Pelodiscus sinensis: one gene and its partners. The protein of the gene in region 4 purifies or fractionates together with the protein of the main gene of each other region. This does not show direct contact. Links are inferred from orthologs where the notes say so. Each region holds a gene or a part of one and is shown on either strand. Other genes may lie near its edges. The genes, in order: TMUB1, TMEM259, CANX and ERLIN2.

Region 1 (8,062 bases), on a different chromosome or scaffold from region 4:
CGCCTGGCTCTCGGGACGCGGCTCTCGGGACGCCCCCGCCGATTGGCCCTCGGGACGCGGCTCTCGGGACGTCCGCGCCGCCTGGCTCTCGGGATGCGGCTCTCGGGACGTCCGCGCCGCCTGGCTCTCGGGACGCGGCTCTCGGGACGCCCCTGCCGCCTGGCTCTTGGGAAGCGGCCCTCGGGACGCCCCCGCTGACTGGCCCTCGGGACGCCCCCGCCGCCTGGCTCTCGGGACGCGGCTCTCGGGACGCCCCCGCCGCCTGGCTCTCGGGACGCGGCTCTCGGGACGCCCCCGCCGCCTGGCTCTCGGGACGTGGCTCTCGGGACGCCCCCGCCGCCTGGCTCTCGGGACGTGGCTCTCGGGACGTGGCTCTCGGGACGCCCCCGCCGCCTGGCCCTCGGGACGCAGCTCTTGGGACGCCCGCGCCGCCTGGCCCTCGGGACGCCCGCGCCGCCTGGCCCTCGGGACGCCCCCGCCGCCTGGCCCTCGGGACGCCCGCGCCGCCTGGCCTTCGGGACGCCCGCGCCGCCTGGCCCTCGGGACGCCCCCGCCGCCTGGCTCTCGGGACGCGGCTCTCGGGACGCCCCTGTGACGGCGCGATGGGGTTCCCCCGTCTCCTGCACCCCGAAATGGCACAAACAGACTGCACCAGCCAGTGGAATAGAGGAAGTTTATTGCCTCTCCAGGATACAGCACAGCACAGATGTAATCTGGTCACAGAGCTGGGCTAGGATGCCTCAGGCCCCCTTGAGATGGGGGAGACTGGGCCCCTAAACTCCAGCCCCTTCCCCTAGGCTGTCTCCTCCATGCTCCCAGCCAGCAACTAAACTCACCCTCTTCCAGCCCTGCCCCCCAGCCAGGGCAGCATCCACCTTCCTTTGTTCCTCTCCATGGGGGGTGTCTGACCACTGGTTCAACAAGTTTGGCCTTCCCTCTGCCTAGTGAGGTTTTCCCTGCTGGGTCTTGCTCCAGACAGCAGGGGTCAGCACAGCCCAGCAAGTACCCCCACTACGTCACAGTTCTCCCCCCTCCGAGAGCGAACTGAGCAGGGTCACTCCGCTCGTGACCTAGGGAAGTTCGGGTCCTCTGCGTGGGAACCCGCCCTGGGGACATGGGTGCTCCCCTTGACTCAGGCCGGCCGTGGCGAGGCCCCACATGAGCTGGCTTCCCTCTGTCCACTCGCCGCCCCGCTCCAGGGCGACTGGCACAGGCCTGTCCTCGGGGGTCACACCCACCCTTCCACTGGCCTTGATCTCTGGCCAGGGTCTCTCGGGCCGGGGCCATGAGCCCAGTGAGCCTTCTCTGGACAACCAGGGCGGCTCCCACACCCGACGCTCCATCCAGGGAGGACTTCCCCTCCCATAACTCTCTCAGCAAGCCCAGAGGGTCTATCTGGGGTAGAGACCCCCAAGCCGCTTTCCTCCTGTCTTGGGCCTTCCCGCCCCTCTGGCAGGAGTCACAGGACCGGCAGTACCGCTGCACGGCTGTAAAGATTCCCGGCCAATAGAAGTGCTGGAGCAGCCTCAGCCGGGTGCTCCGGATCCCCCGGTGGCCCCCAACGGGGACATCGTGGGCCAAATACAGCAGCTTGAGGCGATACTTTCGGGGGACGACCAGCTGCCGCTGGACCCTCCATGCCCTCACCTTCCTGGGGGGAAGCCATTCACGGAACAGGAGCCCACGCTCCACCAGGAATCTCTCCTGGCCACCTCTCCCACGGGGCTGAGCTGCACGGAGGCCAGCCTGGTCCCTCAGCCTCTGCAAGGAGGGGTCTGCCTGCACCTCTGCCTGGAATTCAGCTGCTGAGGCAGGGATCGGGACCTGTTCCCCACCTTTGCCTAGGTCCGGAGTCCCAGCCTGGCTGGACCCCGTGTCCACTGGGATGGGACCCTGAGGACGCTGCCAGGAGTCCTTCCCTGGACCCACGTTGTCAGCCCCCCGCTGGCTCTGGCTCCGGGTAGTGACTAGAGCCCGCTGGGATTCATGGGGCCACTCCTCTAGGTCATTCCCCATCAGCACCTTGGTGGGCAAGTGCGGGTGCACCCCCACTTCCTTGAGGCCTTCCTTCGCCCCCCATTTCAGATGCACCCGGGCTACAGGCACCTTAAACGGGGACCCGTCTATGCCCTTCAGGGTCAGCTGGGTGTGGGGTAGTATCCGGTCTGGGGCCACTATGTCGGATCGGGCCAGAGTCACCTCCGCCCCCGTGTCCCAGAAGCCCGTCACCTTCCTACCATCCACCTCCAGGGGTATGAGGCACTCGCTCCGCAGGGGCCGTCCTGCCCCCACCCGGTACACGGAGAAATCCGCCTCCTGAGAATCAGACCTCCCAGGGGAGGTGCACTGAGCACCCTTCCCCTCTCTCTGAGCTGAGGTTTGCCTGCCAGCCCCTGCCTCTGGGACAGCCTGCCCTTCCTCCCGCCCCAGCCAGTTAACCCTGGAAAGTCCCCGGTCCTGGGACCTGGTGCACTGAGCCCTCTTGTGGCCTTTTTGCCCACAGCGATGGCAAGTTAGGCTTTGGGCTGTCTCTGTCCAGGCCCTGGCTGGTTCTCTGGGGCACAGACGACCTGTTCCTTGGGCTCGCCCCGTAGTTGACTCTCTCCGTCGCTCAGCTGAGATCCGGTCTCTGCGCGGTTCCCTTTCTCTCCGGGACTCCCGTTCACACCCGGACCGGCTCTCCGTGAACTCATCTGCCAGCCTCCCGGCCTCCTGGGGGTTCTCTGGTCTCCGGTCCTTGAGCCACAGCCTCAGTTTGGGTGGGCACGCTTCATAGAACTGCTCCATCATGACCAGCCTGAGCAGCTCCTCTGTGGTCTGGGCTCCGACTCCAGACACCCACTTGCGGCAGTATTGCGCCAGGCGGGAGGCCAGGTCCACATAGGTCTCCCGTGGCCCTTTCTGTACCCCCCGGAGCTTCTTCCTGTACATCTCGGGGGTCAGCCCGAACTTGTGCAGCAGGGCCTCCTTGACTCGGTTGTAATCCCCTGGCTGTAGGTCCTCCAGCTGACTGAGCACTCCGGCCGCCTCCTGGTTCAGTGCGGGGATGAGCTCCTGCAGCCAGTCAGCTGGGGGGACCCGTTGCAGTCCACAGGCCCTCTCAAAGGCACTGAGGAACCCGTCTATGTCACCCATGTCCTTCAATTGGGCCACCACGGGCCTCTCCAAGCATCTGGCAGTCCTGGGACCCTGGGGCCCATCCGCACTTGGCGCAGCCGGTGCCCCGCCGGTTCTCCGCTCTGCCATGGCCAGCTCATGCTGTCGCTGCCTCTCTCGGTCCTGGCGGTCCCTCTCTCGGTCCTCTACTTCCAATTCCCTGATCCGCAGCTGGATCTCCAGCCGCAGCAGCTCCGCTGGGCTGTCCCCTGCCCTAGATGGGCTATTACTTGCAGGCCTCCCGGGAGACGCTGTCTCATCTCTCCGGTGGGTTCCAGCGCTCCTCCCCCCCTCTGAGCCTGACACACTCTCAGGAGGGGTCTGGCTGCTCCCCCTGGGGACAAGATCCTGGCCCTGTGGCTGGTCATTCTCTTCCAGCCGGGCAATCAGCTGGGCCTTGGTTGCTTTCCCCACGGGCAGGCCCCTCTCTCTGCACAGCCCCACCAGCTCTGCCTTCAAGAGTCGGGCGTAGGCCATCTGCCCGCTGGGCCCCTCGGTGCAGACTCACCAGTCTAGTGCTGCAGCGCCCCACGATTCCCAGGAACCACTTCTCTCTGCCTCCAGCACGCCTGGCTCCAGGGCTCTTGCTTCTACAGCGCCTTGTCACTTGCCACTGGAAGCTCCATCCACGGGGTGCAGTGCATCCCGCTCCTGACACCAGTGTGACGGCGCGTTGGGGTTCCCCACCTCCTGCACCCCGAAATGGCACAAACAGACTGTACCAGCCGGTGGAATAGAGGAAGTTTATTGCCTCTCCAGGATACAGCACAGCACAGATGTAGTCTGGTCACAGAGCTGGGCTAGGATGCCTCAGGCCCCCTTGAGTTGGGGGGAGACTGGGCCCCTAAACTCCAGCCTCTTTCCCTAGGCTCTCCTCCATGCTCCCAGACAGTAACTTACTAACCCTCTTCCAGCCCTGCCCCCCAGTCAGGGCAGCATCCACCTTCCTTTGTTCCTCTCCATGGGGGGTGTCTGGCCACTGGTTCAACAAGTTTGGCACTACCTCTGCCTAGTGAGGTTTTCCCTGCTGGGTCTTGCTCCAGACAGCAGGGGTCACCACAGCCCAGCAAGTACCCCCACTACGTCACAGCCCCGCCGCCTGGCCCTCGGGACGCGGCTCTCGGGACGCCCCCGCCGCCTGGCTCTCGGGACGCGGCTCTGCCTGGCCCTCGGGACGCGGCTCTCGGGACGCCCCCGCCGCCTGGCCCTCGGGACGCCCCCGCCGCCTGGCCCTCGGGACGGGGAGGGGCAGTGTGGCAGGGGAGCTGCGGATGGGGTGGGTGGGGGCTGGTGTGGCAGGGTAGCTGCGGGTGGTGGGGGTGGCGGGGAGTGGGGGGGCCGGCGTGGCGGGAGAGCTACGGGCGGGGGGGGCTGGCGTCGGGGGGGAGCCCAGCGTGATGGGGGAGCTACGGACAGGGAGGGGCAGGGTGGCAGGGGAGCTGCGGGGGGGTGGACGGCCTGACCGGAGAGCTGCGGGCGGGGGGGGGGCGGCGTGACGGGGGAGCTGCGGGCGGGGGGGGCGGTGGGCGGGGGGGGCCGGCGTGACGGGGGAGCTGCGGGCGGGGGGGGCAGCGGGCGGGGGCTGGCGTGACGGGGGAGCTGCGGGCAGGGGGGGCAGCGGGCGGGGGGGGCCGGCGGGGCGGGGGGGGGCCGGCGTGACGGGGGAGCTGCGGGCGGGGGGGGCGGCGGGCGGGGGCTGGCGTGACGGGGGAGCGGCGGGCGGGGGGGCGGCGGGGCGGCGGGCGGGGGGGCTGGCGTGGCGGGGGAGCTGCGGGCGGGGGGGCCGGCGTGACGGGGGAGCTGCGGGTGGCTGAGCCCCACGTGTCGTGGCTGAGCCAGAGGAAGCTGGCGGCCAGGCCCCCGAACTCGGTGCCAGGCTGTGGGGAGCAGCGGGGCCGGTTGGCCCTGCCCCCCAAGCCAGGAGCAGCGGAAAGGGGCTCTCGGGGGCTCTGGCTGCTGCCTGGGCGGGCCCGGGGCGCTCAGCTGCTGCTCTGTCCCTCTGCAGGCTGGTGACCCGGCTGTCCCGGCGCTGGCCCGCGGCCATGGCTCTGATCGAGGGCGTGGGGGACGAAGTCACCATCCTCTTCGGCCTGCTGCTGGTGCTGCTGGTGCTGGCGCTGGCCTGGGTGTCGACGCACACGGCGGAGCGGGCGGACCAGGTCTTCGCTGCTCCCCCCAGTCTGGCGGCTGGGCGGCTCGGGGCAGAGAGCCTGCTGGAGGAGGAGTCCCGGGAGCCCGGCGCGCCGGCCCCAGCCGCAGGGGGGCCCAGGGAGACGGCGGAGCCTTCGGCAGGTGCCGCGCCAGATGGGCCTGAGGGCACGGCTGCAGGGCTGAGGCACCGGGCCAGCCCCGGATCTGCACAGGGGCCCCCGCAGCCGCCCGAGGGCCCAGGCGCCAGCCCCGAGGCCGTGGACAGTAGCCCCACGGAGCGCGGCACCGTGCTGCGGCTGAAGTTCCTCAACGACACGGAGCGCCTGGTCTCCGTGCGCCCAGACGAGACGGTCGGCTCTCTCAAGAGGTGAGGGGCACGGCCGCCCTCTCGCCTGTGGGAGGGGAGAGGCTCTGGCATCCCTCGGCCTTGCTTGGCCCTCCCTCCCTGGTGCTGGACATGGCTCTCCGCTGCCACCCCCCGGCGGTGAGCCTGCGTGGTAGCCTGAGCCTTGGCAGCGCTGGTCACGGGAACAGCGAGGGCACCCGGCAGAATGCCAGGCCACGGAGGCGATGGGGGCTCCTGGGAGGGAGGTTGGACTGTGCAGGCTGAGGCGTTGAACGCGCGCTCGCCACGCGGGGGCTGGGCCGCGCAGTGGCAGATGCAGTTCCGTGCTGATGGGTGCACAGACCCGAGCGCGCGCACCGCCGGGGACTGACTGGCTGTTCCCACGCAGCCGTGGCAGGAACGTGGGGCCCCTTGGGAGGGGTAGGTAATGCGACAGGAGGCGTTCTACGGCTGCCACGGGGAATACTGAGTGCAGGGCTTCTTGCCAGCCTTCCCTCATCTCTCCCGTCCACGTGTGGAATCAGTTTTCTGGTGTGCACTAAGCGTGTGGGCTGTGCACCACCAGTAGAAACACGCTGCTTGCGATGGACGGCTGCGGGCGCTCTGCCAGCCAGCTGGTGCTCAGCGCACAGCGAAGGCTGCTGCTCATCCCGTCTCAAAAGCTGTATTTGAATGGGAGAAAGGGCCGAGAACCACGGGGCCGTGGTCCGCTCGAAGAGAGGCTGGACGAGAGGAGAGATTGCAAAGACTGGGACTGGCAAAAAGACGACTCTGGCGGAGTCGACCAGTCCAGAAGAGCGGGGGGGTCAGAGCAGTGTTATTTACCGCTTCCCAGAACACAAGGCCCCGGGGCCACTTAGCGACGTTAACACCAACCAGAAGGAAGGGCTGCTTGGCACCGCGCACTGTCCATCTGTGGAACTCCTTGCCGGGGGCGGCGTGGCTAGGTAAAAGCTGGATGAAAACGCACTCGGTCAGTTCCCGGAGCCAGGGCGGTCAGGACACAGCCCCTGCTCCAGGCCTGGTGCTGGGAAGGGATGGCGGGAGAGATCACTCGGCCGCTGGCAGACAGGACCCTGGGGGAGCTGGGCGGGGCCGTTCAGAGGCTCCCGGGGGGCTGGAGTGACGCTGCCCTCCTTGTGTCTCACCACAGGGCCCATTTCCCCGGCCAGGAGCACCAGGTGCGTCTGATCTACCAGGGCCAGCTGCTGCGGGAGGATGCCCAGAGCCTGGCTGCGCTGCATCTCACCCACAACAGCGTTCTCCACTGCCACGTGTCCCAGCATGGCCCCGCCCCCGTGGCTGCTGGCCTCCGGGCCACCGCGGACCCCGTGCACACGGCCCTCAACGTGGGCAGCCTCATGCTGCCGCTCTTCGTGCTCATGCTGGCTGCGCTGTGGTACTTCCAGCTGCAGTACCGGCACGTCTTCACCGCCACAGCCACCACCTGCCTGGCGGGCCTCACCCTGCTCTTCAGCTTCGTGGCCTTCGCGCTGTACCGCAGATAGCGCTGCCCCTCCGGCCGCGGCCTAGCCCCATGCTGCCCCCAACGGGCTCGGGGCTTGTTTGGCAGGGTGGGGGCAAGGCAGGACTGGCCGGCCGGGTGTCACCTGGTTCTGCTGCCGGAGGTGCTGTGCAAATAGAATCTGCCCAGACGCCCGCCCTTGCACGTGCTTGTGCGCAGACTGGGCACGGCTGCCCCGCACGCTGGCTGGAAGCCGGGTGCCCTTTTCCCTGCGAGCTTGAGTGGGCGGGGTCCCCGGGCCGTGGGGCCCTTGCAGCGGGGCAGTCGTGCTGCACGAGGGGCCTGGTGGGGGTCGTGCTGGCCTGGCTCAGCCGCGGGGGGCTAACGGAGCATGGTTCTCATTAGTGCTTCTTTTCAAATTAAAACCTGTGACTGACTGAACTCTGCCTGCCGGCCTGCTGTGTGTGCGGGGCTGCGCGGGGGGGGCAGAGGAGGAGGGGGCATGGGCCGGAGAGGGGCTGGGCTTTCCAGGGCGGTAGGGGAGGGAGACGGGGAGTGGGGGGCAGGGTGTGAGGGGGATGGGAGGGAGCAGACAGAGCAAGGAGGGGAAGGTAGAGGCGGAGCGGTGGGGGAGGGGGTATGAGTAGGGGTGGGCCGGGGGAGGGGAGCGGTGGGGGGCGGGGGAGGGGGTATGAGGAGGGGGTGGGCCGGGGGAGGGGTTTTGAGGAGGGGGAGGGGCCGGGGGAGGGGAACGGTGGGTCGGAGTGGGAGGGGCGAGGGCGGAGGAGCGGCAGGTGGGGGCGGGGTCTCGGGAGGGGGCGGGGCAGATGGGGGGGTCGCCGGGGGCCGCGAGCGAACGCTCACCCTCATTAGCATATGCAAATCGAGCCCGGCCTCCGCGGCGGCGGTGGGGCGCGGCAGGCCCCGCCCCCGGGCCCGTGGGG
Region 2 (7,100 bases), on a different chromosome or scaffold from region 4:
GGAGCAGCTTTTCTCACCCTGGAGGACGCGGGCGGCGGGACCGCGGCGCATCTGGGCGTCCCGCCGCTCGCATCCTCCGGGGTGAGAAAAGCCCCATTCGTAACTGCGGATCCGACATAAGTCGGATCCGCGTAACTCGGGGACTGCCTGTACACAAGTCCCTACTAACACTACAGATCAAATTCCCAAAACACAGATAAACTCTTCCCAAATCCAGTAGTCAGCCATCAGACTGGAAGATTGAAGCCATGCTGAAAAACCCAAAAGACCAAACTCAATCATTTTGACAGAGAAACTGAAAGACACAATTCTCTCTTAACTACACAAAATACTTCCTCAAGCAATTAGGAATAATGAATGCTTCCCATGAAAGCACAAGAAAGACTGCACAATTTTCTGAGTAGTAAGAGGCCCAAATAGCTTCAAGATGGGCATATCAGAACAGGGGGGCAATAGCACTGAACTCTGTTACTCTCATACCACCAATCCTGCAGTTAGATCCTCAGTTAGATTTTGCATGAGCTAAAATCATGTGGAAACAAAGTGATTCAAAAGGAGTCAAAGCAGCCTTCTTTGGGCCACCTCCCTAGATAGTCTATTCTACAGCCTTCTGTAATCAGTTCCAACTTAATAGAAAACATGGCCCCTGCTCTTCCCCAAACCCCTTAGACAGCCAGCATCAGACAGGAACTCAGACCTTGATGAGAGACAGGAACCCCAGCTGGATCCTAAAATGATCCACGGTCCCCATATGAACACCATGGACTTTGAACACCCTATCAATGGAGTCCAGACACCAGGGCTATGTCTACACTGTGGACACTCTCTTGCGCAAGAAAGCGCCGATGGCCATTTTAGCCAAACTGTCTTTTCCGAAACCACGTTGAAAACACCAAATCATTTTCTATTGGCCACACAGCCATCAGATGGTGGTGTGCACTCGCCTATCAGTCTAGGTTGGACTAGAACCTGTGACTTTAGATAGGAAAGTTTCGGAAATGCTATTACAGCTAATGTGTAAAATAAAAATTCACGTGGTACACAAGTTAAGAGGAAAGGATCTGTACATCTGGGTGTCATGCTTGGATTATCTAAGGTTAAACGTTTTGTTTAAGGCACATGGAACATACCATACGTAATCAGCATTAACTCAAAGGTAGGTACAAAGAGTTGTCCTGTGGCACCAGAGACTAACAAAAATATACATACAGGTTGGACCTCCCTGGTCCAGCACCCTCAGGATCTGACCAGTCCTGGATGAGGGAATTTGCTGGACAACGGGAGGTTACCTGACACCAGCCCCTCAGTCCCTTCCTGCTGCTGGCAACTTTGGCCCAGCCGGGCTGCCTTCTGGCCAGTCCCAGCTCCGCTGCCAGCTGGGCGGCACGATGTCTAACTGGGATGCTGCAGGCCCAATCCCCCGCTGGGTGGCACGTGGCTCCAGCCACGCTGCCTCTGCGAGGCTGCGCCAAGGCCCCAGCCTAGATTCCCCTCCCGTGTTGCTGCAGCCCCAGCCTTGCTGTCGGGCAGTAGGCAGCCCTGATTGTGCTCTGCTGTTGCTGCTCAGGCTGCTGCGGCATAGCTGCTGCTAGACTCACCAGGCTGCACCACTTTCCCAGCTGCTGGGCCTCCTGCTCTGGGGCTCTCTCATGCTGAACCACAGATGTTGCCAGACCAGAGAGACCTGAATTTGGGAGGTTCAACCTGTAGGATCATGAGCTTTCATGGGCAAAACCCATCTCTTCAGATGGGCTGGAAATGTAGGTGTGTAGGTTTAGCAGTACAGTTCTAAGGCAGCAGTGAATAAGTCTTTGGATACGTCTCCCAAGGGAAGTTTCACATACTTAGTCATGGAAAACAGATCTATTAATGGTTGGAGATTGTTCCTACACCACTGCCAAGCCCAGAGACTATCTACCTACCCCAACCTGGAGCCATGCACCCAGTTACCGTATATAATGGTTCAACAGAAAAATACACCAGCCTGATGGGAAAGTCTCTCCGGCCAGTGTAGGTGGGGTGAGGTGACTGATCCTAGGGTAGCAGCCAATCTCTCCTGTGGGTTAACAGCTGTTTGGAAGCAAGTCAGGCTTGACTGAGCTGTACAAGGGGGTGAAGACTGATGTAGAAAGTAGAGATGTAATAGTATAGTTGATTAACCCATAAGCAAACGCTCACAGGTTAATGCTACAGACTACATGCATTTCCCTCCCCTCCCTGCCAGTAATTTTTGTTAGTAGCCCGGCCAGCAGCCTGGCTCAGTCCTGGCTTGTGCTGGGTCCAGGATCTCCCCCCACTGTGGCTCTTGACTTAAAGTATATTAGGAGCCAGGTGGGCAGGCAGCTCCGCTCAATTCCAGCTTGTGCTGACCCCATTCCCGAGAAGCCTCCTGCAACCCTGAGCGGCTGCATCTCCAGGGGCAACAGAGTGGGGTGAGAGGAAGCCGGTCCACACGAGGAGCTGGTTTTTAAGTTGGCTCCTCTGGCAGACCAGCTCCCATCTGGCACCCTGCGCTGCTGCCTCTGATAGAGAGACAGCAGCGCAGGGTGACAGGGGACTCCCCGGGAGTGGGGCCAGAGCACATGGGCTGCCACTCTCAGGGACTATAGAATAGTCGACTAACTGATAAACTGTGAGGTTAATCGACTATTCATCCTTAGTGGAACGTGCCCCCAGTTCACACACACGTGGCCCTGCCCCTCACCTTGAGGAGGACAAAGAACTCGAAGATGCGGCGGAAGGAGGGTGGGAAGAGGCGGGCGTAGGTGACAGCCATCTTGAAGAAGAGGGCATGGAAGAGGCGGTCGCGCACGTTGATCAGGGGGTTCTGGTTGAGGTTGGGGTTCCGCACCCCCCGGTTGTTCCCCGCGGCAGCCCCACCGGCCCCGTTGTTGTTCACCGGGTGCTGGTGCTGGTTTGCATTGGGCTGGTTCTCCGACATCCTGGCCCTGTGGGGCGGGGGCACCCGGCCGTTTCGGGAGCGCGGGGATCACAGGCCTGTCACCAAGGTGAGGGGGAGGCTCGGACTCCTTTTGGGGGGGGGGGGGAAGCGGCTGGGGGAGGGGTGCTGTTCCAGACCAAATCTGACAGAACCAGCCCGGGGGGGGGGGAGGGGGGGAGTAGTTCAGCCCCCCCCTTCACACAGGACAGAGGGAACCGCTGCGAGGGGAGCCCGCGGGTGGGGGGGTCACACGGGGGGAGCTCAGGGGTGACCCTGGGGGCAGAGGGACACGGGGGGGGGAAGAGTAACGCGGGGGGGGGGGCCCGGGTGTGATACTCGGGGGGGCCTCTGGGGGCGGGGGGGGGTCACGCGGGGGGGCCCTGGGGGGTCACGCGGGGGGGCTCGGGGGTCACGCGGGGGGGGCACCCGGGGGGGTCACGCGGGGGGGGGCCACGCGGGGGGGCCCTGGGGGTCACGCGGGGGGGTCACGCGGGGGGGTCACGCGCGGCGGCGGGGCCGCGGCAGGCCCGGGCGGGGACGCGGCTCCTGGGCCGGCCCCGCGGCCATGGGGGCCCCGCTCCGCCTCCCTCCGCCGCGTCTCACGACCCGGCCCGCGCCGCCGCCATCTTCCGCCTCCTGCTGCCCCGGCCCGGAGGCTGCACCGCGCCAACGAGCGCGCGCCGGCCCGAGAGCGGCAGCTGCGCAGGGGACGCCGGGACGGTGGCGGGCCAGAGGGGCCGGGCCTACGTTTTAGCCTTATTTGCATATTCGACTAAGGCGCGCCCTGTGGTTCCCGGCATGCGCCGCGAAAGAAGCCTGGTTAGAAAATAAAAAGGAAATTAAAAGCGTTAAAACGGAGGAACAGTGAAAAAAAGCCACCGAGAGGATCAGGATCCGCGTGGTTCGTTCACTAGTGACTGAGGCACCCCAGCGCGGACACGAGGCAAATCACCCTAATGGAGAAATATTTCACTTCTGGAGGTTTAAATAGCTCCGGGGTTTCACTTAGATTCGTGCTCGCTTCGGCAGCACATATACTAAAATTGGAACGATACAGAGAAGATTAGCATGGCCCCTGCGCAAGGATGACACGCAAATTCGTGAAGCGTTCCATATTTTTGGGGCCTGGCTGGCTTCCGCCTGGTTCTTCCCACCGCCCAGCTACTGAATCCACTGGGGCAGCTGCTCCCCAGGAACCTTTTACAGCCCAAAGCTCAGCGCAGGGCATCACAGCTCAGAACAGGGCAATTATCCACCCTGTGCCAATCTCCCAGCCTCTGAAAGGACACCTGGAGCATTGGGCTATGTCCCAGGCAACCTTCCTACTAATTTTTTTCCATCCACGTGCGGAATAATTTGATGTGCACTGGGGCATGTGCGATGTGCACCACCAATAGAACCACATCACCTGGCTGTTTGTCACTCTGCTAATCAGCAGGGCAGCGTTTGAATTTCTCTTGAGCAGCTGCTCAAGGAACACTGGGCCCAGGCCATCGTGGCTAATAGCTAGTGACGGACCGGGCATGTCGAATTCTTCTTTGAACCCAGTTATACGTTGACCCTCCACAACAGCCCCTGGCAGGGAGGGTTGTGTGTCTGGGTTGTCTGATGGGCCATGGAGGCGGGGGATGGCTTGACTGCGAATGTGTTTTCAAGCTGCTGTGTTTCAGATGCTCTGTAACTCGCAGCAAGCAAGTAACACTTTACCCAGTAGGTCTTCTGTGTTTGGTTCAAAAACTCTCCTTGGGTCCTAGCCGGCAGGCGGCTCTGTGCAGCCTAGAACTGCAAGGGCAGGTAGTAAGAGAAGTGCAGGTTTTTCCCAAGCGCTGTCTGGAAAGAGGGTTAAAGAGCTGGAGTAACCCATAGGAGGAAATTCCCAAGTGCATCTTGGGGGGCGCAAGGGGTGTTTGCCTTGGCTGGTGGCAGCCACACCAAGGCCAGGGAATCTGTGACCATGGGGAGTTTTTTAAACAGATTCCTTTAGTGGCCTGGTATTTTAGAGTCGCTTGCCGGCCCCACCCTCTGGGGCGCAGCCTTGAGACGGGGAGAGGCCAGAGACTCCGTCACAGCCAGGCCGCTCCTAGGCCACGCCCTGGGCTAGGGCTCCAGGCTGAGTTGGAGCCTGGGCTCACAACCCCGCACACCCCCCAGACAGCCCCGCGGGACAGCAGCAGCCCCCGCTCAGGCAAAGCCACCAGGCCCCTTCGGCCACAGCTGGGCCCTGCCGCCTGCACGTTGCCGGGGCCGAGCAAGGCGCGGGCGAGCGGCACCTGCCTGGCTAATTTCTAAGGGGCCGGGCAGGTGGGAGGCCCTGCACGGATGAATTCACACAAGGCCCCTGCTGCGTGGGCGGGGTGACTCCGTGGGGCACCAGGGTTGCAAGAGGAGAGAGGGACCCCTGGGGCCTCCCCATGAGCCTGCGGTGAGGCCAGCCTGCCGGGGAATTCTGGCCCCCCTGCCTGGCTGGTAGGAAGGACGCTGGCGCCAGGGCTCTCTGTTGATCCGGGCTGTTTGTGTTGCTACTGGTGCAGTGGCCTAGGGGTGTGTGTGTGTGTGTGTGTGTGCGTGTGTGTGTGTTCAGCTAAGGTGGCGCCAGCAGGCGGGAGGCCTGAGCCGCCCGAGAAGGGCTGGCGGGGAGCCCCAGTGGGGGCGTTCCCGAGGGATCCCATCCCCAAGGCAGCACCGGAGGCCCGGGCTGCACGGTCACACGCTGCACCAGGCCTTGGCAATTCGCCAGCGCACCTGGAGAGCCGGCTTGGTGTTCCGGCACATCCCTGCCTCAGTCACGCACTGCTCCACGAGCCCCTCTGCCTGCGAGCCCATGGGCCACAAGCCCCATGCTGGCAGCAAGAGAGAAACTGGCTGCAGCCACATCTCTGGCCAACCTTACAGAGGAGGCTCTGAGACCAGGCTTCCCTCTCATTTTTTCCATCCATGGGGGAATAAATTTTGTTCCGTGCACCGAGGCATGTGCGGATGTGCACCACCAGTTGAAACAGGCTGCTGGCTGCAGGTGCTCTGAGAATCAGCTGGGTGGCATTTGAATCTCTCCTGCGGGGGCTGCCCAAGTGCCCAGCTTACAGGGAACACTGCCCGAGACCTGCCCCTGCCGGGCACCAATACATCCCAGAGGCTGCACCGCCTCGTGGCCACCCCCTGCCCCCACCTGCGTGACCCAAGCCGGCCGTGGGCTCACAGCAGCCAGTAAGCGCCGCAGGGAGGGGCAGGGTTCCCTGCTCGGCATACGTCCTGCGCTGAGCACAGTGGGGCCCCGGCCTCCAGAAACTGCTCTGAATTGAACCCTGATCCGTACCCGTCTGAGCGTATGAGGCCATCACTAGTGCGGGGGCAGGGCGTCTATCCAAGTAAGGGCTAGGTCCTGGGAAGTTTGGGGTGGTGGCAGTGCTAGCTAATGGTTAGAGCACAGGCTTGGGCAATCTGGATTCTATTCTTGCGTCTCCCACAGGCCTGCCAGTGGTACGTCACAACCCTTTCCTGGTGCCTCAGTTTCCCCATGGGGATGATGCTACTGCGCTCCTCTGTAAAGCCCCTGCTGAGCAGTGTGAGCTAATAACCATCCCGTGCGTGTCTCTAGCAAGGCTGGCAGGGAACAGGGTCACAGGCAGGGATCGGGGACGGCGCCCAGTGCAGGGGGCACAGGGATCCGGGGGTCGTTGGGGCTGCAGGCAGGGGAAGGAGCCGGGAGTCGGAAGTTGCAACCTGTGAATGAGCCAAACCCTCTGCACCGGCCCATGTGAGCAATTCCACCTTAAGAGACACCGGCCCTGCCCCCCCGGCAGCGGCCCCCTGCTTGGTTACTGTCCCAGGCACCGCAGAGCAGGGGCCACCCCACGGCGCAGCCCAGCACTGGGCAGGTGGATGGATCTGCCCAGAGGGGAGACACCAGGGCACGGCCCATGCTGGGAACCTCCGACCTGCCTCCGTGCACGGCCAGCCCCCCGCCTCCTCCAGCGTCTCCCTCCGGCTTCCCCCCCCCGCACCCTCGCTCCCCACCGGTACCCGAGCGCCCACGGCTGCCCGCCCCCCGCCGGAGGATGGGCTTGGGGCACCGGACGGAGGCGAGAGCGCAGCCGAGGCTGCCCCACTTCTCGTGGACGGACTTGGTGTTCCGCCCCCCACCGGGCCAGCCTCCGCGGGA
Region 3 (7,760 bases), on a different chromosome or scaffold from region 4:
AAGCCTTCAAAGGCCACTGGCGGTACTGTAAATCAAAACAAATGGGTATTTATAACAAAAATTATGGAAATACCTCAAGATACAAGAATTCACTTAGTGGGAAAAGCATACTTAGCAGTCTTGCTGTCACTTTTGCAAACCAACTCAAATTTGTCTTGGGATCAAAAGCAACAGCCTTTCTTCCAGGTGGAGTTTTCCATTATGGTGCCAAGTTAAATGGATGAAGACAAGCACTGAAGAGACAGGAATATGAATGCCATAAATGCAGAATGGGCAGGAGAGGGAAGAAGGGGACAAAGTTAAGTTTATTTGGGAAAAAACTGAGTAAGTTACACTGAATTCTTAGGATCAGAAGCTGTTGGAAGGGAAATGTTTAAAAACTAACTGTAGGGATGGTGTCACATTAAAGACCCCCCTGATTAAATTAATCTGGCCAGCATCAAGTCTCTATGCCACAGGCTAAAAGCCCTGAGCCTTGGTGTGTTGCGCCGCGCCCCCCCCCCAGGCCAGGCTGTAATTGTCAGCACCACCACTTGCTCATGAAGCTTCAGGGGTGACACCTGCAGGCAAGGACAGCATGTGTGTTGTCTTCTTCCCCCGGCCCCCCGCCCCGCATGAGGGACCACAGGGAAATGCCAGCTATGGCCGCTTTGCAGCAGAGGTACAGGATCGGGGCAGGTGGGGAGCCTGCTTTAGCACCACAGTACTGTGAATGGGAGCTGCCTGAGGTAAGCTCCTACATCCCATCCCTTTGCCCCAGCTCTAAGCACCCTCTTGCACCCAAACGCTCTCTAAAAACCCACATCCTCACTCCTTGCCTGGAGCCCCCTCCTGCACACCAAACCCCTCAATCCCAGCCCAGAGCCTGCACCCCCACTCAGAGCCCTCACCCCCTCCTACATCCCAATTTTGAACTCCATTCTACACTTCAAAGTTCTCGTTTTGGCCCAACCCTCAACACCCTCCCTGACAGAGCTGAATATGGCCCACTATTGATGTTTTTCTGGAGGTCAATGGCCCCTGATAAGAAAAAAGGTTCCCAACGCCTGCCCTACTCCATTACTGTAGCATTTCAATTGTAAATGGTGTAGAGAAATTTCAGTGTATTTTAAACAACATTTCTATTGAGTCTAAGAAGTTTATACACAATAATTTTAGAATTAAGTGAAAGTACTTTGGGCTGAAGCCAGGTGATTTTATGGCTGGATTTTAATAGTATCTTTGAAAAGACCATTATGAGAGTTTTGCAAGTTAGAACTAACTGCAGACTGAACATAAATGCAAATATTTTATTGTTCTCGGTGGTTGTTATTCAAAGATGTATTATCCTATGCGTTGTCACCTCCCCAATTTCACTAGCGCACACTGATGTTACTATCATTCTGCCTATAAACCAGCCTTCAAGTTCTCTGGGGCACCACACCTAGAGCCAGACAACAATATTGCCAAATCAGGATAGGTAACTGATACACACACCTCTAGTCAAGAACACTCCTAAGCCTGATTTTCAAGTGCACACAAACTGCAAACCATTCTAGTGTGACTAGAATATTTTTATATTCTATATTTTTGCAAATATAAAACCATTTGCAAAAATTGTTGCAGCAACTAAAGAGCACTGCTAACAGAGATAAGTCAATTACCTTCCACATTTTAATGAATATTTACTACTACTACTACTACTATTGGATATTTGCCATGAAAAATTAATTCAGGCTCTATGCAGACATGATACTCGAAGGCAGTTGTCAACTCAGATAAAAGTTCCAAGAAGATGGCTGCTTACTCTGTAATTCAATCGCTGCATTTCTTGTTCAGTCCAGAGTACTCTCCCTTTACTTTCCCATTCAGAGCTATCTAAAAAGATTAGAGGTAGCAAGACAGAAAGCATCTACTTTAACTCAAGGTCTGTGTGATGCCAGACCACCACAATGAACAGCAGCAAGGGTTCCATTACATACTGCCTTGAAAAAGACACACAGCTTTAAAAAAAAAAAATAGAAGCTATGTTCAGGAGATATACATTTTAAATTGTATAAAGTGCTGCACTTTATAGGTCACCTTTGTTTTACATGCCTTTTACTAGGCATATTGTTTAATTTCCGTTTCCTCCTCCACACCTTATTTCTGTTTCCTCCTCCACTCTTATTTCTGTGGTCCGAACTCTTTCATTCCAGTAACTTCCACCCGTTTCCCTCCAGTCATACTGCTCCAGTCCTGATTGCATCTTTCACCCTCTGCAGAAACGCCCGGTCAGAAGAGCCATTTCTGAACACCCCGATTTTTGGCAAGGGCAGATCCAGTCCTAGTGACTTCACCTCCCCCGTACGCATATTAAAACCCCACCAGCTCGGCCTCCACCTCGCCTCCGCCCAAGCCCACAGTCTCTGCGCCGCATCGCACTGGGATGAGCACATGCCCCCGCAGCCCTCGGCCACGCGGGCCAGTGTCAGTCGCTCGCCCCACCCACGACAAGAAGCTACCAGAACGGGCTGCCTCGCCCGCCACTGGTCGAGCCCAGAGGGGGGAATGGAAGAGCCGCGGCACCCAGCCCTGCGCGCACCTTGGACGCGGCTGGCCACGCGCCGGCCTCCGTTCGCCCGTCCCGGGCTCCGCCGGCGGGTTCCCAGCCGGGACTGGCAACGGACACGCGGGGGCCGCACCGACCCCCCCCCCCCCCGGCTTCGCAAACCCGTTACAGGCCCAGCCCCGCCGCGTCCCACAGGGCTTCGCTCCCCCTCACGCCGAGCCCTGCCACGCCCCGCGCCTGCGAACTCCGCGCCCGCCACCCCAACCCCCGGCCCTTCGCGCCCTCGCCCCCCGCCAATGCCCCAGCATGCCCCGCGGGCAGAGCCTTCCCCGGCAGCCCGGGGGGGGGGGGAAGAGAAGCAGGCCCGGCCTTGCGATTCTACCGGGCGGGGGTTACCCCCACTCACCTCGCCACGCGCCCCCCGCAGCCGCCGTCCGCAGCCTCAACACCCCCGTCACGTGTCCTAGCCGGAGCGGCCGCCCGCGCGCGCGCCTGCCCTCCCGCCCGCCTATCTACCGCGCGCTAGCTCCGCCCCACTCCTACCTCCCCATTGATTGAGCCAGCAATCGACCTCCCGCGCCGGAGCGTATGTCGCATTCCCATTGGTCAATGGCGCCGCTTCTCCCGTCTTAAGCGACGCCCCTACGGCGCTGCCCTTCGTGGAGCGCGGTGATTGGCTGGCCGCTTGCGCAGGAAGTGTGCGCTGATTGGCTAACACGGGGAGGTGGGTGGAGCGTGAGAGAAGAAGAATCAGATTCCTGCAGGAGGAAGCGTTGGGTTTCTTAAAGGAGCGGTGCCTAGGTCCTGTCCTTGCTCCTGGGAGCAGTGTAGCCGCTAGGCCAGGATAGGGGCCAGTGCTGGGAAGGGGGAGCTGGCAGCAATGTTCCCTCTGTTCTGTCCATGTGCAGAATAATTGTATGTGCACTGAGGCACATGCAAATGTGCACCACCAGTAAAATCAAAACCCAGCTGTGAGTGCTCTGCTAAGAAGCCATAAGAGGCCAATGCTGGGAGGGGTGGTGGGAACTAGCAGAGGCTTTCTCTGCTGTGGCACTATCCATGAGTGCAGGGGGAGGGCGGCACTGACCCCTGAAGGGCTGACCAGCAACAGCTGCTGGAGCCCATACGCACACACTCCCCAGCAGGGCTGATGCGGGGAAAGCATAGTAAGGCAGTTCTTGCTGGTGCTGCTCTTGGGGAGTGGTGGGACTGCCCCTACACTCACTGGAAGTGGTGTGGCAGAAGGAAGAGATGGGGTGGGAGAGGAACAAGGGTGGGGAAGGGGTAGAGAGAGGCAGGGCTTGGGGCAGAGGAGGGTTGTTCCAGGCCTTCCTCAGGTTGTGGGGGGAGCATATGGCTGCTTTCCCCCCTGGAAACTACCTCACCAGTTGCTTCTGGGGGCTAGTGCTGGGGCAAGGGTTGAGAGGGCTGGAAGAGGTCAACATAGGAGGTGGGGCGGGACAGCTGGCAGAGATCTGCATAGGGGCTAGTGCTTAAGGCACAACCAAGGAACTGTTATCCCTCAGTCTGTTCCAGAGGTGGGCAATAATTTTTGATGGGGGGGGCCACTCCAAGATTTTGGTAAGTGGTCAAGAGCTGCACTTTTCTATGGAGGGCATGCCATGGTATGGCACAGAGATGGGAATAAATGGGAGCTCAGGGTAGGGGACTGGAGTGCAGCGAGGGTGCAGGGTGTGAGAGGGAGTTTGAGTGAAGTGTTACCTGGGGCAGGGGATTGAATGCAGAAGAGGACTCTGACCTGGGAGAGGGGTGCAGAAGGTTTGGGTACACTGGGGCAGGAGATTGGGGTACAAAGTAGGGGGTGCAGGGTCAGGAAGGGGGTATAGGTGTGTGATGGGCCGGACACAGCCCGCACTCTGGAGAGTGCGGCGGGGGCTGAGCTGCTGGCTGCAAGCCGCGTGGAAGCCGTGGCAGCCGATCATGGCCGGGGAGAGGGGCAGCCGAGCGCCGCCACGGCATCCCGCGTGGCACCCGTGGCAGGGCCCAACCTGGGGCAGAGGTTAGGAGGTAGCGGCAGACGGAGGGGAAAGTGGGGGGGTGGCTCGAGCCAGGGCCACCCCTGGCGGGACCCCGATCACCACCCCAGCCCTGAGGCCAGCCCCGGTAGCAACACAGGCCCTCCCAGAGGAGGGAGGAACCCCTGCCCGGGGCTGGACGCCTGTGGGGATTACGGCAGGGGGCAGAACCATGCTCCCAAGCGCAACATGGCGGCACCCTTGAAAAGGACGAGAGCAGAAGATGGAGGGGTGGCTCCAGCTTTGGGGACAGCCTGCAGAATCGGGGGAAACGGTTCATTCCTCCTCGGTGGCAAAAGCTGGAAAGTGGCCGGGCAAACCAGAACTCCGCGCAGAGATCATCGTGACCCGCCGGAAGGATAACTCTTGGGGTCCCCAAAGAGGGACCCAATAGTCGAGGGGGTGTTAGGAAGCAGCCCAGGGCACAGCGCTTCTGGTGCCTGTGGGCTGGAGAGCTTCGGGTGGAATCCCCATCAGCTGGGTAGGGACGGCCAAGCCCACCCTAAGGGCCCCGGGCTGGGACCCAGTGGAGAGGGAGGGCCCGGGTCCCCCTACACCTCCTCGATCCACTCATCCATCCACAAGCCTAATCTGATGGAGAAAGTTCTTACAGGGAGGGCCAGAGTCCCCACAGGGTTGGCGGGCCCACAGGGCCCTGCCCTCAGACTTGGGGCAGAGGCTCGCACCCATATAGCCGACCCGGGGAGGTTAAGACAGACAGAGGGAGGGCTCGCTGGGCCCTGCCCTCAGCGGCGGCAGCTTACGCTCCAAAACCCCGTCACACGGTGCAAGAGAGGATTCTAGACTGGAGAGAAGCATAGGAGGGCACGTGAGTCTGGGAGGGAGTTGTGACCTGGGGTAGGGGTACCAGAGGGGTGCCAAGGATTTGGGTGGTTACCTGGGGCAGAGAGTTGGGGTATGGGAGGGGGTGGGATGCCAAATGAAGGTTCTGGCTGGTAGGCAGTGCTTTGTCAGCTGCCCAGTGGGACTCAGGCAACCCCAGACTGCTCAAAGTGGCTGGCTGCTTGGGGCCATGTTCCTCTGCACTGTGCTGCGGGGCGGGGACGGGACAGGGACTTCACATGCTGCCCTTACCCCCAGCACAATCTCAGCCAATGGGAGTTGTGATGATTGGGCTGGGGGTGGGGGCAGCGCACAAAGTTTCCCCCACTTCTGCAAGGGGTACACAGTGCCTAGACGCACAAGGCCTCAGCAGCTGGCTGCTTTGAGTGGCCTGAGGCTGTGGCAAACAGGCTGTATTTTGCCTGCTGCTAGTCTTTTTCTTCAGCCTAAGTCTGCCAATCTGTAACTGCAAGACAGTTACAGCAATTTGATAACACACCTCTCAACACACTTGCACATCCTTCCCTTTCATCCTGAGCACTGTACGTTACCCAAAACCCACTCCTCAAAACATAGAGCTGTGACCAACTGAGAGCAAGCCTAAAAAGAGGACATGCAGGATCTAGGCAGGCCTTCCATTCTCTAGTCATCTGAAGAAGTGGGCTGTGCCCACGAAAACTCATGATATCATCTATGTGTTTTATTAGTCTTTAAAGTGCTACCAGACTATTTGTTGTGTTTTAAGTTTTTCCTGTTACAGCCTAACTTGGCTAACCCTCTGAAAGTTTTAAGCCAGACAGTCCAGGGCTACATCTACATTGGCATGATCTTGCGCAAATACTCTTTAATGGAAGAGTTCTTGCGTTAAAGTATTTGCACAAGAGAGCATCTACACTGGCATGTGCCTTTGTGCAAGAGATTTGCTTTTGCGCAAGAGCATCCGTGCCAGTGTAGATGCTCTCTTGTGCAAGAAAGCTCTGATGGCCATTTTAACCATCGGGCTTTCTTGCGCAAGAAATTCATGTTGCCTGTCTACACTGGCCTCTTGCACAAGAACAGTTGTGGAAAAGGGCTTATTCCTGAGCGGGAGCATCATAGTTCTTGCGCAAGAAGCACTGATTTCACATATTAGAACATCAGTGTTCTTGCACAAGAACTCCCCGTCAGTGTAGACAGGCAGCATGTTTTTGTGCAAAAGCGGCTGCTTTGGCGCAAGATAGCGCCAATGTAGACACAGCCCTGGTGTCACTACTGACGGGGCATGCAGTAGGAGCTAGTTGTCCTTGAGAGGCCATTCTGGCAGGTGGCAGGCCCACACCATGCAAGAAGTACTCTGGAGATCTGTCAATGGCCATCCTAGCACTACATCTGAGGCCTTGGGGTGTGATTTTTTTTAAATGACATTTTTATACCTGCATACCTGGTCTCCACATATATTACTGTGCTGCTCACCACTTAGGACTTCACTGCAACAGTCAGGACAGAATTCCCACTCTTTTGTTCCACAAATACAAACTAAAAGAAGACTCTCCAATAGCAGAACACCGTTTTGTGATTCATTGTTGGGCTCTTCCAATTCTATCCAGTAGATGGCAGTTATGCACATACACAGCCCAGTTTATTATGCGTGCCACTGAGACAATACTGATGTAAAATTCTGATAACGTTTTCTATATCATGCAGAAAAATCTAAGCTATGCTGCATTCATTTCTCTGAAACAAGATATAGCACCGTAGATGTAAAATGTTATGTAAATGATAAGTATGTTGCAAACATGAGCTTCATAATTTTCCTACCAATGTTGTGAAGTGGGGAAAGTACTGTTCCCCATTGTTTAGAATAGGAAACTGAGACACTGAGAGGAGGAGCAGTATTTGTAAGATCACACAAGAAATTACTGGCACAGCAAGGATGAAAACGAAGGAGTCTCTTGCTCCTATTCCCTCTGCATAGCTTACAAAAAGGTCAGTGTAGGCTAGCAGTAAATAGGGATCAAAAATTAGGGAAAGTTGAGACAGACTGCTAGCACCATTAACCATAACTTCTAGATAGATACCACTTGAGTGGCCTGTTCTAACAAAGGATGGGTGCTGTGCTAGTAGTGTCTGAATGTATTGCCCAGGTCAGGGTATAACAGGATTTTTTTTTGTTAATGTAAAACTGTTTTGGGTATACTGAAAAGCAGCACACACCAGAGTTTTGGCTGAGTTGGTGTTTAAGCAAGCACAGGTTACTGAGATCCACCCAAAGAATGCCAAGACGGGTGATGAAAGCGAGAGAGATGACAGACACCACAGGGAAAACACAGCTCCATGACAGGAGGTCATTGTTGGTGTTTTAAAATACATAC
Region 4 (7,494 bases):
GGTAAATAAACTGACATCTTGTCACTTCCAAACAGATAGATATCTGCACTTGTCAGCTGTGCTTGGACACTATTCTCCTTCAAGTTCACCCTATTGTCAATAAGCAAGGAAAAGCTGTTCTCTGTGGTTGTGAGGGCTGGTTTTGCTTTGTCACAAGCCACGTTTAATTGCCAGTTAGGGTGTGAAAAGTCACCCGCTAACTAAGAGTCAGACACACAGCATTAGGATTGTGGATTTGAAAACCTTTACAAATTCATGATCAAAACATGGAAAAACACACCTTCAGAATGAATGATCTCTAAAGACATAAATAACCCCAAAGCAGATGGAGACAAACTAAATATACCCTAAGATTAATACTTGAAAATCAGTGCCATTAGATTTGGACCTTCCACCTCCAAGCCATTGGTTCAAATCCAGTAACCAAAAGCTGTTACAATGCAACAGCTGTTCATTAGTTTATGTGGAACGAGTTAGTGGAAGGGTCTCCCATCACTAAAACATGTTAATACATTTGTCATTAGTCAGCCCCTCGGTTGGCAGGTTCATCAGAGCTGCTAAGGGTTGAATGAGTCATGGAGACCGAATTGCTCTCACACACAAAGGACGTCCCTTTAGCTCAGGGCATACTTTTTAGAAGGGAAGCAAGCAATGCCAATGCTGTATGTTATCAGAGGATGAACAGAGGACTTAAATCCTTGTGGCTGCCAGCTCCGCACTTTTCATCTACATCTCTCACTCTCCAGTCACCTGCCAGACATCTCAAACCAGAACCCAAACTTCTGTTTCTCTCCTAACATAGCTAACATCACAAGCCCCTGACACAGAGCAGAGAGCTGCAATCCTTATTCCCATATTAGGATTTGGGGGCATCATCAACTCTTCTGGGGATAACACAGAAGCTTGAATTCAGACTTTACATCCAGGTGAAGGAGGATGGTTCACAAGTTTTTCATATTAATGCGGAATCACTGATCATTTCTAAGACTGCCGGTGTGCCTTCTGCCAATTTGGGATCGCAAACTTTGTCTTTCCCAACTCCACCACACTCTGACAGTAAATTGGCCTCTGACGGGGGAAGCCACTGGATAATGGTTTCAAAATATTGTGACCCAAACAATATTCCAGATGCATGCCTTACCTATAATAAACGCCAATATGTCCTTCTTCAATTTTGTGAATTGCAGAGAAGAGAGCTGCAGCCAGAAAACTAAGAGACAGGGCCGCTATCGCACCTAGTTGGGCCATTCCTGAGTGCACGGCCTGGGCAAAGGGACATAGAGCACGAGATCAGAGACTGAGAAATATTTAACCAAATGCACGTTGCCTAATACTAACACTAGATTTAATAATAACTATGCTTCCAGCTGAGGGTGCTTCACAGAAATTAAGTCCCATAGGTATTCCCAAGGGGTCAGTTTTACTCCCATTTTATAAATAAGGAAACTGAGGAAGTGAACTGGCATGCCCGTTGTCATGGAGTGAATCTATAGTAGAGTTGGGAACTGAACTCAGAAGTTCCATCTGCTGCTCTAGCCACCCCTCGGCAACATCTCAGACATCTCTCTCCTGTTGTGCTTTGATTAAAGTATCAGTTTTAAGACACCCTCCCCCCGCCACCACCGCATCCGGGTATAGTTAAAGGAAAGCCTAGTGCAACTTCCACTTCACGTTATCTTACCCATTACAGAGATAGCTTCCCCAATTATCACCTCTAATATCATTAGCTCACAGACATTTACCTCCCACCCCCCCATTCCCTTTCTGTTCTGAAATTTGATTTGTCCTTTTCGTATGTGTTCATTTTTTAACATTGTATCCTTTGGTATATATGGTTGTGACAATTTTCTTCCACTATTTGATCTGAGGAAGTGGGTCTGGCCCATGAAAGCTCATTATCTAATAAACCATCTTGTTAGTCTTTAAAGTGCTACATAGTCCTGTATTTTGTTTCAGCTACACCAGACTAACACGGCTACATTTCTTTCACGTTATTAGCATTCTCCAGGCTCAAGCTCCACGGAGTTTAAAGCTGCTCTGCTATCCTGGCAACATGTACAGGTGCACTAGAGGACTCTTGGCAAACAGTGTGTTTGATGTGGACACATTAACTCCAGGTGCTATATACCCCCTCAACGGGACAAAAGGCCTCTTGCAATCCTGATTAAATGACAGAGGCTGCCAAATGAAACATTGTAACTGTCATTGTAACTGAGCTGCACCCACAGAATAGTAATTGAATATTATTTGAAAACAAACTGTTATTTACTATTTGCAAATGTCAGAGCATGCATGGGACTACATAGGATCTTATGGTCTAGTTTGGATATTCAGGTTGCGGCGGGGGAGGTCTAGGTTGGATATTGGGAAAAGCTATTTCTCTAGGCGGGTGGGGAAGCTCTGGGCTGGGTTCCCCAGGGAGGGGGCGGAATCTCCATCCCTGGAGGTTTTTAAATCCCATCTTGATAAAGCCCTGGCTGGGATCAATTAGTTGGGATTAGTCCTGCTTTGGGCAGGGGCTTGGACACAATGACCTCCTGAGTTTTCTGTCCGCCCTGGGATTCTATTCTAGGACTCTACTAAGCATCGGAAATCGGCCCCAGGAGCCCAGGCAGGGCATTGGGCCAATAAACCCTGATCTGGGCCAGCGTGGCAGCCAGCAGGCCTGTTCGCACCCGAGCGCCTGCCTCCAAAAAGCGCCGGTGTCTTTGCTCTGGGGGGAAAGGGACCGACCCGACACCCAGCTCGGGCCCCCCAAGGACCCCACAGCCAATGCGGGGGGGCCCTCGCCTCCCCCCCCACGCGGGGCGGCTCCACCCGCGCAGCCCACGACGCGAGGGAGGGGCCCTTGTCCCCACGTGTCCCCCCCACCCCTAAGGGACCCCCAGACAGCCACGGGGGGGGCGAGCCCCAGGGGACAGGGAGTCCCAGCCCTGGCGTGCGGCTCGCGGGGGGGGGAGCTTGTGGGGGGAAGGGCCCCAGGAAGGGGGTTCGGTGGAGGGGAGGGGCTCTGAAAAGGGGGGGTTCAGTGGGGGGGGCAGGGCCGGGGAGCCAGGAGCGAGGCTGCCCGCACTCACCGCCGGCGGCAACGACTTCCGGGTGCGTCGCCGCCGCGGTGACGGGGATCCCGTCATCACTGCGCGCCGCCGCCCCGCCCCCCGGCCCTGGAGCCTGCAGTTCCCGCGGCGACACCGCCAGGGGGAGCTAGAGACTCACGCCAAGGGCCCGCGCCTGATCGCCCCCTGCAGCCCCACACGCCTGGCTCCAGCTCCAGCTCCCGCACCGACCCGCCTGCAGCCCCGGGCACCTGGCTCCCGCACCGACCCGCCTGCAGCCCCACACGCCTGGCTCCAGCTCCAGCTCCCGCACCGACCCGCCTGCAGCCCCGGGCACCTGGCTCCCGCACCGACCCGCCTGCAGCCCCACGCGCCTGGCTCCCGCACCGACCCGCCTGCAGCCCCACGCGCCTGGCTCCCGCACCGACCCGCCTGCAGCCCCACGCGCCTGGCTCCCGCACCGACCCGCCTGCAGCCCCGGGCACCTGGCTCCCGCACCGACCCGCCTGCAGCCCCACACGCCTGGCTCCCGCACCGACCCGCCTGCAGCCCCACACGCCTGGCTCCCGCACCGACCCGCCTGCAGCCCCACACGCCTGGCTCCCGCACCGACCCGCCTGCAGCCCCGGGCGCCTGGCTCCCGCACCGAACCGCCTGCAACCCCACACGCCTGGCTCCCGCACCGACCCGCCTGCAACCCCACGCGCCTGGCTCCCGCACCGACCCGCCTGCAGCCCCACGCGCCTGGCTCCCGCACCGACCTGCCTGCAGCCCCACGCGCCTGGCTCCCGCACCGACCCGCCTGCAGCCCCACGCGCCTGGCTCCCGCACCGACCCGCCTGCAGCCCCACGCGCCTGGCTCCCGCACCGACCCGCCTGCAACCCCACGCGCCTGGCTCCCGCACTGACCCCCCTGCAGCCCCACACGCCTGGCTCCCGCACCGACCCGCCTGCAGCCCCGGGCGCCTGGCTCCCGCACCGAACCGCCTGCAACCCCACACGCCTGGCTCCCGCACTGACCCGCCTGCAGCCCCACGCGCCTGGCTCCCGCACCGACCCGCCTGCAGCCCCACACGCCTGGCTCCCGCACCGACCCGCCTGCAGCCCCGGGCGCCTGGCTCCCGCACCGACCCGCCTGCAGCCCCACGCGCCTGGCTCCCGCACCGACCCGCCTGCAGCCCCACGCGCCTGGCTCCCGCACCGACCCGCCTGCAACCCCACGCGCCTGGCTCCCGCACTGACCCCCCTGCAGCCCCACACGCCTGGCTCCCGCACTGACCCGCCTGCAGCCCCACATGCCTGGCTCCTGCGCCCACCCGCCTGCAGTCCCAGGCGTCTGGGTCAATTTCCTGGCTCCCTCAACAATTCACTGTGGACTCCCGGACTCCTGGGTCCGATGCTCACTTGCTATGTGGCCATCAGTTTGCCACGCTCCTATGCCTCTTTCCAAAACAGGCTCATCCCTATGGCCCGTGAGTCTTGGGTTCTGTTCCCAGGTCTGTTACTATAGGGCCCATAGATCTGTGTATGATTTATAGTCCCAGCTCTGCCACACTGACCACATGGACGGGTGCTAATCATTTTGTTTTGAGTTGAAGTCATTTTCTTTCCAGAGGTTCCTAAGTCTCCATTGAAATGGGAGGACAGTCGGTCCATCAATGGCTCTTAGCAGAGATGGCCAGAGATGCAGCCCTGTGCCCAGGGTGACCCTAACCTCTGACTGCCAGAAGCCAGGTTTGGAAGACAGATCTGGACCACTCTAGAATTGCCCTTTTCTGTACAATCCCCTGAAGCTCTGGCACCGGCCAATGTTGGAGACAGGATATGGGGCAGGATAAACCATGATCTGACCCCTCATGGCAGCTCTTACATGCTTTCGAAAATTTTACCCGCAGCCTTTTTGCGCCTCAGTTTCTGCATCTGTAAAATGGGGGCTGCAGTGAAAGTCCATATAGTAAGATGAGGGTCTGAAACATACGCTACTGTATCACAGGCCTGAAACATAAGGCCTGAGGCCTAGGAGCAATAGTGAAGACTTTGCTCAAATAAAGCAACGTCGACCCATTGTAAAGGGCATGCCTGTGTTAGCCTAACTATAGACCTTTTGATCCGGAGAAGCTAGGACCGTATCTCACCTACAATCAACCTGGTCTGCCGCCTTCGATCCTTATCTGATTCTGTGGTCTTTGGGGGCTCTCTCGGAGTCTGCTGTGTTGACTAATTGTGCAGGGTCAACACAGTTAGCGGGTAGCAAACGCATGAACGCACACAGCTGAACGGTTGTCAACACTGAAGAAGCAGGAGACCTGTCAGGCTGCCCCCGGTGATGCCTGACTGCTACAGTCAGTGAATTAACATTTGTAAGAGTGTTGGGTGAAACCTCTGCCTGAAGCCAGCTGGGGTACAGTCGAACTCAGCGGACTGGCTGCATGCACAAATCCATGCTGGGAAAGTCAGTGCATGCAGTACTGCTGAGTGAGTACATGCAAAGCCAGCTAGCAGTCCAGGTGAATGCAAGGTGATGGAAATTGAGAGACCAGGTGGGCGAGAATCCTTTACTGACCCAGCTTCTGTGGGTGAAAGAGACAAACTTTCAAGCTTTTCTTGGGATGATCAAAAGCTTGTCTCTTTCACCAGCAGATAGTCCAATAAAAGCTTTTACCCCACAACCTGGCTACAGCCACACTGCAAACATCTCTTGAAATACAAGTTTCAGTTTTTTGAAAGGAATGCAAAAAAAAAAAAAAAAAAGAGTGTCTTTAGCATCCTGTGGACTGTAGCAATTGCTCCACATTGGGAACTGACCTGCTGCCAGAGCCCATGGCTGTGATCTCCTTGCTGGGACCAAGGAAAGCCAGGTGCTTCAGGCTACGTCTAGACTGAAGGCTTCTTTTGGAAGAAGCTTTTCTGGAAGAGATCTTCCCTAAAAACTTCTTCTGAAAGAGCATGTCTACACAGCAAAAGCGCAATGGAAAAGTGATCTGCTTTCTTGAAAGAGAGCGTCCACTCTGAATGGACCCTATCTTGCATTTCAGCTGTGATTACTGTGGACAGAGTGCTTTTTCCTGGAGGCCTCTTCTTTCGAAAAACACTCTCTTCCGCGTCCACACATGCCTTTTTCTGAAAAAGCTCCCCAGAAAAAGACTTCTTCCTCATAGAGGTTTACTGCTATCAGAAAAACCTCTCTGTTCTTTTGACTTTCTGTCGAAAGAACGCAATAGCAGTGTGGACGTAAGTCGTTTTTCTGGAAAAATAGCCTTTTTTCCGGAAAAAACGACAGTGTAGACATACCCAAAGAGTGAGTTAGTTGGTTAATTGGTAGTTAATTAGTTAAAGCTGGCTGCCTTGTTGGTGCTATGGTGGGTGTTGTGCAGCTTGGAGACGCTGTCTTTGGGATGTTTGTTGTTCAGTTTCCGGGTGGATGAAAGTGACTCAGATCTATTCATAGTGCTGAGAAGTGGCCTTGGACAGGTCTTTGGCTAAGGTAGGCTCAAAATTTCAGGCAGGAGCAGACTGAAGGAACCTTTGCCCCACAATAGGGCTAGGAGCAATGGGGTGGGGAGGGGAATAGATAGCTGTTCGGGGGGCTGGCTTCGTCCCACAGCGAGGCTGCGATGGATACATTCTATTCCACCTGCCTTCCTTGTCCCTCTGCATGGGAAAGATTTCAGCTGAGTTTCTTTAGAAATCAAAACCTCCTGAATTCCACCTGACTGACACTAATCCAATGTCAATCTCAAGCTGTGAAGTGGCTGCTAGACCATGTCACAAATTCTTTGCCTCTCTTTTTCCTTGTCTGACAAATCTGGAGGCGATTTAAAAAAATCTGTTCCCTATTCCACTGCAGGTTTGGCCAGACTGAGTAGTAATAATAAGAAAAGTGACAGACCATGCAAAAATATATTAAATCTTCAGCGTCCGTAATTGTTGAAGGGGACTTAAGAAATATAGAAAAGACATATAAAATGTCAATAAAGGAGAATAATTTGATCTTTACACTTGATAGATCTCCCAGGGTGTATATAACAAACCTGTCAGAAGAATTCGGCACCAGTTAGAAATAAGGAGTGAAATATCTGCAATATTTGTCAATTCAAATTTTACAGCTCTTAAATAAGCGCAAAAGGGCACCTGGGATGAAATATGCCCTGTATTAGATTTTATAAATGTTTGCCCAGATTTAAGCTCTTGATAAAATGTATTAAATTTTTAAAGGTTTTAATGGATCTAGTATGTGTTTCATAAATCAAGAACTGCTGCCCAACTGCCTCTTGGTTTAATAAGAGTAAACTAGGAAATTGCTCTGAGCTGAAACAAAATACATATAATATTTAGAAGTAATAGCCTTTTAAAGGCAGGGTGTTTTTTGGCTCACCAACGGGGTTGTGCTTCATAATGCTCAAGCTATATTGTTATTCTAAATGGGAAACCATCTGTG

Evidence for each region.
Region 1: the proteins of ERLIN2 (region 4) and TMUB1 purify together in Homo sapiens (affinity purification with mass spectrometry; 4 studies listed by BioGRID and IntAct, with this or other methods). This does not show direct contact. The link is inferred for Pelodiscus sinensis from reciprocal best matches to the Homo sapiens genes ERLIN2 and TMUB1.
Region 2: the proteins of ERLIN2 (region 4) and TMEM259 purify together in Homo sapiens (affinity purification with mass spectrometry; 3 studies listed by BioGRID and IntAct, with this or other methods). This does not show direct contact. The link is inferred for Pelodiscus sinensis from reciprocal best matches to the Homo sapiens genes ERLIN2 and TMEM259.
Region 3: the proteins of ERLIN2 (region 4) and CANX purify together in Homo sapiens (affinity purification with mass spectrometry; 4 studies listed by BioGRID and IntAct, with this or other methods). This does not show direct contact. The link is inferred for Pelodiscus sinensis from reciprocal best matches to the Homo sapiens genes ERLIN2 and CANX.

Annotation. Positions count from the first base shown.
Region 1 is NW_027466049.1:4,612-12,673, forward strand, and holds TMUB1 (transmembrane and ubiquitin-like domain-containing protein 1), read left to right. Parts: upstream 1-4,982; 5' UTR 4,983-5,198; coding exon 5,199-5,674; intron 5,675-6,806; coding exon 6,807-7,161; 3' UTR 7,162-7,559; downstream 7,560-8,062. Other genes in the region: FASTK (fas-activated serine/threonine kinase), read left to right, coding at 7,946-8,062. UniProt on the Homo sapiens protein: Involved in sterol-regulated ubiquitination and degradation of HMG-CoA reductase HMGCR. Involved in positive regulation of AMPA-selective glutamate receptor GRIA2 recycling to the cell surface.
Region 2 is NC_134729.1:16,439,893-16,446,992, forward strand, and holds the start of TMEM259 (membralin), read right to left. Parts: upstream 3,211-7,100; 5' UTR 2,942-3,210; coding exon 2,705-2,941; intron 1-2,704. Other genes in the region: uncharacterized protein LOC142818988, read left to right, coding at 6,859-7,100. UniProt on the Homo sapiens protein: May have a role in the ERAD pathway required for clearance of misfolded proteins in the endoplasmic reticulum (ER). Promotes survival of motor neurons, probably by protecting against ER stress.
Region 3 is NC_134727.1:34,174,891-34,182,650, reverse strand, and holds the start of CANX (calnexin), read right to left. Parts: upstream 3,078-7,760; 5' UTR 2,937-3,077; intron 2,723-2,936; exon of another isoform or gene 2,564-2,722; intron 2,146-2,563; exon of another isoform or gene 2,121-2,145; intron 26-2,120; exon of another isoform or gene 1-25. UniProt on the Homo sapiens protein: Calcium-binding protein that interacts with newly synthesized monoglucosylated glycoproteins in the endoplasmic reticulum. It may act in assisting protein assembly and/or in the retention within the ER of unassembled protein subunits.
Region 4 is NC_134738.1:14,904,424-14,911,917, reverse strand, and holds the start of ERLIN2 (erlin-2), read right to left. Parts: upstream 3,175-7,494; 5' UTR 3,135-3,174; coding exon 3,078-3,134; intron 1,264-3,077; coding exon 1,142-1,263; intron 1-1,141. UniProt on the Homo sapiens protein: Component of the ERLIN1/ERLIN2 complex which mediates the endoplasmic reticulum-associated degradation (ERAD) of inositol 1,4,5-trisphosphate receptors (IP3Rs) such as ITPR1.